Linked DNA regions of Xenopus tropicalis. The protein of the gene in region 2 binds, or shares a complex with, the protein of the main gene of each other region. Links are inferred from orthologs where the notes say so. Each region holds a gene or a part of one and is shown on either strand. Other genes may lie near its edges. The genes, in order: kbtbd8 and cul3.

Evidence for each region.
Region 1: cul3 (region 2) and kbtbd8 share a complex: the UniProt entries of both Homo sapiens proteins name them as parts of the BCR(KBTBD8) E3 ubiquitin ligase complex. The link is inferred for Xenopus tropicalis from reciprocal best matches to the Homo sapiens genes CUL3 and KBTBD8.

What each region holds. Positions count from the first base shown.
Region 1 is NC_030680.2:143,295,666-143,300,042, forward strand, and holds the start of kbtbd8 (kelch repeat and BTB domain-containing protein 8), read right to left. Parts: upstream 2,969-4,377; 5' UTR 2,914-2,968; coding exon 2,898-2,913; intron 2,839-2,897; exon of another isoform or gene 2,756-2,838; intron 470-2,755; coding exon 371-469; intron 1-370. UniProt on the Homo sapiens protein: Substrate-specific adapter of a BCR (BTB-CUL3-RBX1) E3 ubiquitin ligase complex that acts as a regulator of neural crest specification.
Region 2 is NC_030681.2:123,808,453-123,812,272, forward strand, and holds part of cul3 (cullin-3), read left to right. Parts: coding exon 1-61; intron 62-1,222; coding exon 1,223-1,399; intron 1,400-3,232; coding exon 3,233-3,403; intron 3,404-3,820. UniProt on the Homo sapiens protein: Core component of multiple cullin-RING-based BCR (BTB-CUL3-RBX1) E3 ubiquitin-protein ligase complexes which mediate the ubiquitination and subsequent proteasomal degradation of target proteins.

The DNA.
Region 1 (4,377 bases), on a different chromosome or scaffold from region 2:
CTCATTAGGATAAAACTGCATTTAAAGCTCAATGTGATCCTTGCCCAAGATGAATATCCAAGCCTTTCTCCCCCACAAAGTGAGGGAGGCCATTATTTTGGCACCCTTTCATGGCCAAATAAACTGCCAATTTGGCAGGAGCGGCAGCTAAAATTGACCCATTTAAATTAAGCAATACTGCTAGTACACCAGTGAGATTATTTCAACTTTCATAGGTATGGGCAAACTAAGATCTGGCCCACAGAAATTCAGTGTCAAAAGGGACCCACTGGGACTAAAGCAAGGAAAGGGATATATCTGTGAAAGTCATACAGATAAGACTACAGGACAATAGCCTTGGAAATCAAAGAGGAAAGAAGAGGAAGCATACCAGTGGAAGCTGTAGAGGAAGGTGTCTGCGCCATATTCATGGGAGCGATAGGTAAGGGTGATGTATGAAGTAAAGGATTCAGAGCCATAGCCAGGGAAACTGCAGAACAAAGAAAGAAGAGACAGAGCTATACCTACGGGAACTGAACACAATAAACTGCACAGAGACACTTCCTTGGGTGTTTCAGATCAAAGAAAGAGAAGAGAGGGCAGAGGCCACCCAAGTGAAGGCCAAATCAGGCAGATTTGATTGTTTAGCCCTGGGCTAGAAATCAGGTACAATGCAGGCTCACTGGAAGAGGACTAAGGAATTCCTTAAGGTGGCCATACACAGGCAGATTTGGGTTCTTCAGACCGATTCGGCAGTTTATCTGCGCATGTATAAAGGACTCCTGACGATCTTATGTTTTCTGGCTGAGAGACGGCCAGATGTCGATGTTGTTGTAATTTGAGTGGATCTTAATGTGTATGGCCACCTTAACATGCCCAACAGAGATTTGGCCAAATTTTATCTGTCAGGAAAGCAGTCGGGAGAAACCAATAAACTTGGTCCGGAAGATATCCATTTTCATACAAATTGAACACCTTGTAGAGATCAACGGAATATTGTCACGTTGTCATTGTGCTCTGTAGATCTATAAACCAGAAACAACCTCAAACTTATTCGGACCCCTTGTCCCAGAGCATATCATCCTTCTAATAAGTCACTTACCACAAAAATTAAAATTCCACCCAAACGCCCTTATTTGCACTAATGATACCAGCAGACTGTGGAAGTTGAGGTTCATTAACAAGATGTACATGTTGCTAGTAATTGGTATAAGATCCTGCACATTGTATCCAAGTATAATAATTAAACCCTTATGTAAAGGGATACGTGGAACCAGAATCCTACATGGGGTATAAAGTTCAACTTATGATTTTTACCCAGTCTGCTATATCTAGGAGGCATGTGTCCTATAGTGTAAACACTGAGGATTCTGAATTAGCATAGTGATGTATGGGTGTGACTTACTAAAATGCACCACTGCAGTTGCCTGTAGCAAGTAAAAAGATCAGAAGAGAAAGTGTCAAAATCATCTGTAGGAAACAGGAGGTGTGGGAAGTCCAGAAGGGTGCCAAAATAATGCCCTGTGAATGGCAACAAGTATGTAACAATAATGCCATAGGAAAGAGGCTTGTAAATTGGGCATATAATGTTCAGGAATCACACCCTGCGAATGGGGGGGGTGTAGGCAACCGTGCCCTGGGGGGGGGGGGGGGGGGTGTAGGCAACCGTGCCCTGGGGGGGGGGGGGGGTGTAGGCAACCGTGCCCTGGGGGGGGGGGGCTGTAGGCAACCGTGCCCTGGGGGGGGGGGTGTAGGCAACCGTGCCCTGGGGGGGGGGGGGTGTAGGCAACCGTGCCCTGGGGGGGGGTGTAGGCAACCGTGCCCTGGGGGGGGGGGGGTGTAGGCAAACCGTGCCCTGGGGGGGGGGTGTAGGCAACCGTGCCCTGGGGGGGGGGGGGGTGTAGGCAACCGTGCCCTGGGGGGGGGGGGTGTAGGCAACCGTGCCCTGGGGGGGGGGGGTGTAGGCAACCGTGCCCTGGGGGGGGGGGTGTAGGCAACCGTGCCCTGGGGGGGGGGGGTGTAGGCAACCGTGCCCTGGGGGGGGGGGGTGTAGGCAACCGTGCCCTGGGGGGGGGGGGTGTAGGCAAACCGTGCCCTGGGGGGGGGGGTGTAGGCAACCGTGCCCTGGGGGGGGGGTGTAGGCAACCGTGCCCTGGGGGGGGGGTGTAGGCAACCGTGCCCTAGCGGGTAGGCAACCGTGCCCTAGCGGGTAGGCAACCGTGCCCTAGCGGGTAGGCAACCGTGCCCTAGCGGGTAGGCAACCGTGCCCTAGCGGGTAGGCAACCGTGCCCTAGCGGGTAGGCAACCGTGCCCTAGCGGGTAGGCAACCGTGCCCTAGCGGGTAGGCAACCGTGCCCTAGCGGGTAGGCAACCGTGCCCTAGCGGGTAGGCAACCGTGCCCTTGCGGGTAGGCAACCGTGCCCTTGCGGGTAGGCAACCGTGCCCTAGCGGGTAGGCAACCGTGCCCTAGGATTAAAGTATGAAATGCCCTTATAATCATGTGCTAGAGATTAGGTACATGATACATAAATCCAAAGGGAGCACCATAACCCACAGAGAGGACCCAGAGAGCCAACAAAGCCCAGGGCACCATTCCATGCACTCAAAGCATTAATAGCTGGGAGCCCACAGACTCACAAGGGCCCGCTTGTATAAAGCCCAATAGCAGATACCTGCTTTATAATTGTCACTGGCTAAACCCGCTGGCTAAGCCCCCAGGGAAAGTGAAGTTCAGCAAAAGCCACAGGTTGCAAAGCCCTTGAGTGTAAATACTTACCCCCCACCTCCTGAATTACTCAGTGCCCCCCTCCATTAATCAAGCGGCAAGTCCCACAGCCTATAGGAGAAAAGCTTTCCCCTCAAAACCAACTACAAATACCCAAAGCGGAGCCGGCCTCTCCCAGCCCCAAACAACCCACCTCCCTGTGCAGCCATTCTCCTCCTCCTCCTCCTCCGGCTCCAGCCTGTGCAGGAAACGTCACTTACTTCCTTTGGGGAACCCGGATGTTGCTTATCGGCCAATCACAGCTGCCGGAGTCTGTTCCTGCCGCGTTTCTATTGGACGGGCCGCCGCGAAGCACGTCGGTAGTTGTTGTTGTTGTCTGGGGCAAGCCGGGTGAAGAGTGGGCGGGGCGTTACTCTGCGTGACGTGTCACAGGCGCGCAGGGCATGCTGGGAGAAGGTACGGCCTGAGAGGCAGCTGCGGGGCAAGTTTGTGTTATTAGCGGCGCCTGAAGGGAGGAGCTAGGAGTTATTGGGTGTCACAAGGGGAGGGGCCTGGTGTAGTACAAGATACATAGCAACTTAGCATTTGGACTCTTTCAGTAATGCGAGTCTCTATGTTTGCCCAGTAGCAGTAACGCCTAGCAACCTATTCAGTTGTTTTAAACAGTTGACCAGTGAATTCTACCTGCTGGTTGGTTGCTATGGGTTACTGCTCCTTGTGTCTTTTTATTGCATAACCCAATTTTTGCCCTTTGAAATATCCCAACTGTATGGAAGTGTTTAAGAGCTTTTATGGTCAGAAATTAAAGAAACTAATGCCAAAATCAATGGAGGGTGCCAATGTGTTAGGCTCATCTATAAAGAAATAGACAAACCAGGGGTAGTGGCTGCGTGGCACTGCCACCTTGTTCCTGCCTCTTGGATATACTTGTGTGCAGAACGTCAGAGATTTGTGTAAAGGTATGGGATCCCTTATCCAGAAACCCATTATCCAGAAAGCTCCGAATTATGGAAAGCCTGTCTCCCATAGACTCCATTTTAATCAAATAATTCTAATTTTTAAAAATTGATTTTCTTTTTCGCTTTAATAATAAAACAGTACCTGTACTTGATCCCAACTAAGATATAATTACCCCTTATTTGGGGCAGAACAGCCCTATTGGGTTTATTTAATGGTTAAATGATTCCCTTTTCTCTGTAATAATAAAACAGTACCTGTACTTGATCCCAACTAAAATATAATTACCCCTTATTGGGGGCAGAACAGCCCTATTGGGTTTATTTAATGGTTAAATGATTCCCTTTTCTCTGTAATAATAAAACAGTACCTGTACTTGATCCCAACTAAGATATAATTACCCCTTATTGGGGGCAGAACAGCCCTATTGGGTTTATTTCATGGTTAAATGATTCCCTTTTCTCTGTAATAATAAAACAGTACCTGTACTTGATCCCAACTAAGATATAATTACCCCTTATTGGGGGACAGAACAGCCCTATTGGGTTTATTTAATGGTTAAATGATTCCCTTTTCTCTGTAATAATAAAACAGTACCTGTACTTGATCCCAACTAAGATATAATTACCCCTTATTGGGTTTAATTAATGTTTTTTAGCAGACAAGTTATGGAGATCCAAATTACGGAAAGATCCCTTATCCGGAATACCCTTGGT
Region 2 (3,820 bases):
ACAAGGGAAAGCTCTTGTATCTGAAGAGGGAGAAGGAAAGAACCCAGTTGATTATATCCAGGTAGGCATAATGATCAAAATGACTGAAACTCTACCATTGCCAGGTTACGAGATAATAGAATTTATATTTTTAAGTTTTTTAAAAAGTTTTAGAGTTTTAGAACAGAATATTGCAACCTTAAAGCATTTGTCAGTCTAATGAAGGCATAGAAAGTTGTCACTTGAGAACTTGAATCCCAGAATCCATAACTTTGCAATAAAACAAGGTGCAGGAGGGGGATGCAAGGCACAAAGGGTCATTTACATCCACAAGAGCAGTGAGCAAAGAGCACTTTTGAGCATGGTTGACATGTTTTTCCCAGAATTCAAGCGTCATTGCTGTTGCAGGGGGTTGTTGCATTTGGTGCGAATGCGATGGATTTACAATTGATTCACTAACATTACCGCTACTGCACATGCATTTTGTTGGAAATTGGATGCAATAGTGCTGAAGTCCATCTAGTGTCATTTCTGCACCCAGTTCTTTAGGCACAAGTGCCCTGAGCCTGTTGACACTTGGAGCTAAAGGAACCCTGGAGTTACCGCCTGGTAAGGAGGTGGGTGGCAGCTCCAGAAGGCAGGAAGAACTGATTGGCGTTGTGTGCAACTACACAGGAATGCAAAGCGCACATTTTAATTTATGTACCTTGGGGTTTAATGCGCAACTGATTATGGGAAAATTGCAGGAGCGCAACTGTGCTTGTAAATGACCCCTACTGTCTGGGTAATGGTTTATACAAGACTATTATTTTTTCCGTTGCTTCTGTGAAATAGGAAATCTGAAAAAACACCTTTTTAACGAGCGGGAATTTTGTGCTCATAGTAAGTTATACATTTTGGCTTGGTCCCCTGGATAATAATGGGGTATGACCATGTGAATAGGCAAAAAATCATGTGTTTATTCATGTTTTCTAAATGTCTGCTTCTCTAAAAACATGCCAGATTTCTCAGGATTTATGCTGACATCTGCCAGTGGTGTTTTGCTATGAGCCCCAGGAGATACTTTTACAAAATGCGGCAAAAATGTCTTAAACTGGTTATGCTGCTTGTGCAATAGTTTTGTTTGCCTGGCATATCAGATAATTAAAGCAGTGAAGGGAACCACTTTTATTTGAAATTGTGATATAAATGGCAAACATAAGTGTAATTTATGAACATAAACATTCTCAACTGTATTTTTCAGGGGCTTCTTGACTTGAAGAGCCGGTTTGATCGCTTCCTCCAAGAATCTTTCAGTAATGACCGTCTTTTTAAACAAACCATTGCTGGAGACTTTGAGTATTTCCTCAATCTCAACTCCAGATCCCCAGAGTACCTCTCCTTATTTATTGATGACAAACTGAAAAAAGGAGTTAAAGGAGTAAGTACTGCATCCAGTGTGCAAGTAATTTTACATTATACTTGGTTACTCACCTTTTATTTTCTGTTTTTAATCCATATGCCTATTTAAGACTATCATTCAGGGTTTTGAAAAAATGAGCTTTAAAATTAAGCAGGCCTTTACTCATCGGCGTATGGTTTCACAAGAAGCTGCTTTAGGGACATAAATCTGCCCTGCAGAAATGGCAGAAATAAAAGGATACCAACATCATTTTGAAATTTCTTCTTTGCCTGTCCTAGGACCCAATATCTAAGTAATGGCCCTTTTTAAAAATGTTTTCCCCAAAATCGTACAATTTCTGTGGCTACAGAAGCACACAATTTTTAATCCAGCGGTCCCCAACCTTTTACACCAGTGATCCACATTTAAACCTAAAAAAGTAATTGAAAGCCACATAAAGGTAGAAAAAGTTCCAAAGGATTGCCCAATAAGTTCTGTGATTGGCTGTTGCTTTGTCACTTGTGGGCTACCTATAGTAGCCTCTGATTAGCTGTAGACTTGTTTCTTTGTGCATTTCAACAGGATAAATTCTTCTGTTCAAGGTAGGGCAAAAAGAAATATATGCTGTGAGGCCTTTAGGAGTAACATGAAATAGGGTGCCGAGCATCATGGTGCTTGTCTAGCTTAACCCAACTGCCTAAGAAGTATTAATGAAGTTATTTTGGGTTAGCAGAAATTTCATAACGGTGTAGGTATCCTACCCTGGGGCTTGCCCCACTGTCTCATTTGATTAAAGGTGCGGTTCACCTTTAATTCTTGGGCCGATTCACTAAAGGTTGATAACACATATCGCATAGTTTTTTTTTTGTTAAAAAGCATGCAGTAATTAAGTACCGATTCATCAAAGTCATTTCACATGCGTTAATCCGCATATCGTATGTGCAAAAAACCGCATCATCGCAAAGCGTTATTTCTAACTTATTGCGTTAATTAACTAATAAAAATAGTACTAACGCATGATTCAAAAACACATATGAAGCGTTAAATGCACAAAATATCGAGTTAATCTGTGCAAAGATTAACACCTACTTGGGGCAGGCGGTACTTAAAGAAAATTGCTGTTCGTGAGCTTTTGGCAGCTCAACATGGAGTTTGCAGTCGTATTTTTTCAAGTATGTTTTGGCCCTAGAGTGATGCATCCTGCAGTTTTCATCGCTTCTTAATTATGACAAGTGTCCTTTTAGTGAATTGATCGTTATCAATAAGAATTGATAAAATTTTTAACGCATGCTATAAATAGCACTCGTTTTATGGACCTTTAGTGAATCTGCCCCTTAGTGTGTTATAGAATGGCTGATTCAAAGCAAATTTTCAATTGTTTTTTTTATTTGACTCCCAACTGTGACTCTTTACAGGAGATTGACCCCAGCAGCTGTTAGCTTTTTATTACTTATTTTTCTCTTATTTTTCTAGGCCCTCTTCTATTCATATACCAGTCTCTATTAAACCACTCCCTAGTTGCTGCAGTAATTTGAACCCTAGTAACTAGATAACTACTGAAATTATAAATTGGAAAGCTGCTGAACAAAAAGTTAAATAATGAAAAAGCCACAAATAAAAAATGACCAATTGTAGATTCTCTCCGGATACTACTCTCTACATCATAGTTAAAGTTAACTCAAAGGTGAACAACCAGTTTAATTGTGCTAACACAATAACCAGTGGCATCAATACTTGTTACAGCATGGCTACAGAATGGACAGAGCTCTGTCTTTTATTTGTGCACATCTTCATGTTACAGCCCGTAATAGGTATATTAAGATGCATTTATTTAAATCACCATGCTTATGATTTCTTTGTCTTTCTTTTAAGCTAACAGAACAGGAAGTAGAGTCAATTTTGGACAAGGCAATGGTTCTCTTTAGATTCATGCAAGAGAAAGATGTGTTTGAGCGTTACTATAAACAACATTTGGCCAGAAGGCTCCTCACCAACAAGAGTGTTTCTGATGACTCTGAAAAAAATATGATTTCAAAGTTAAAGGTAGGTTGGGAATTTTTTTTTTCCTCATGTAAAATTCCTTCATACAAAAACTCAAAAAAAAAAAAAAAAAAAAAAAAGTTGAATTGTAAGGCTATAGAACAGAAACAACAACAAAAAAAAACCCACAAAAATAATTGAAAATGTTCATTGACTCTATATTGGAAAGGCTCTGTCTGTGTCAGATTTGAATTTTAAACTCTCAAGACCTGTGGCGTGTCTTGTTTTGACTGTGCAATTAATTATATATAAAGCTTAATTCAAGCTCAACAAAAAGAAATGTGATTAAGTTTATGTATTGGGCTTCTGCCGTGCTCAGTACCTCTACAGCACTTTAGCAGTGAAAATACATGCTTCAAAGCACCTAAGGCAGCAGCAGTCCCAGATGTACCCTTACTGATTCTCATTCCAGCAATTCCC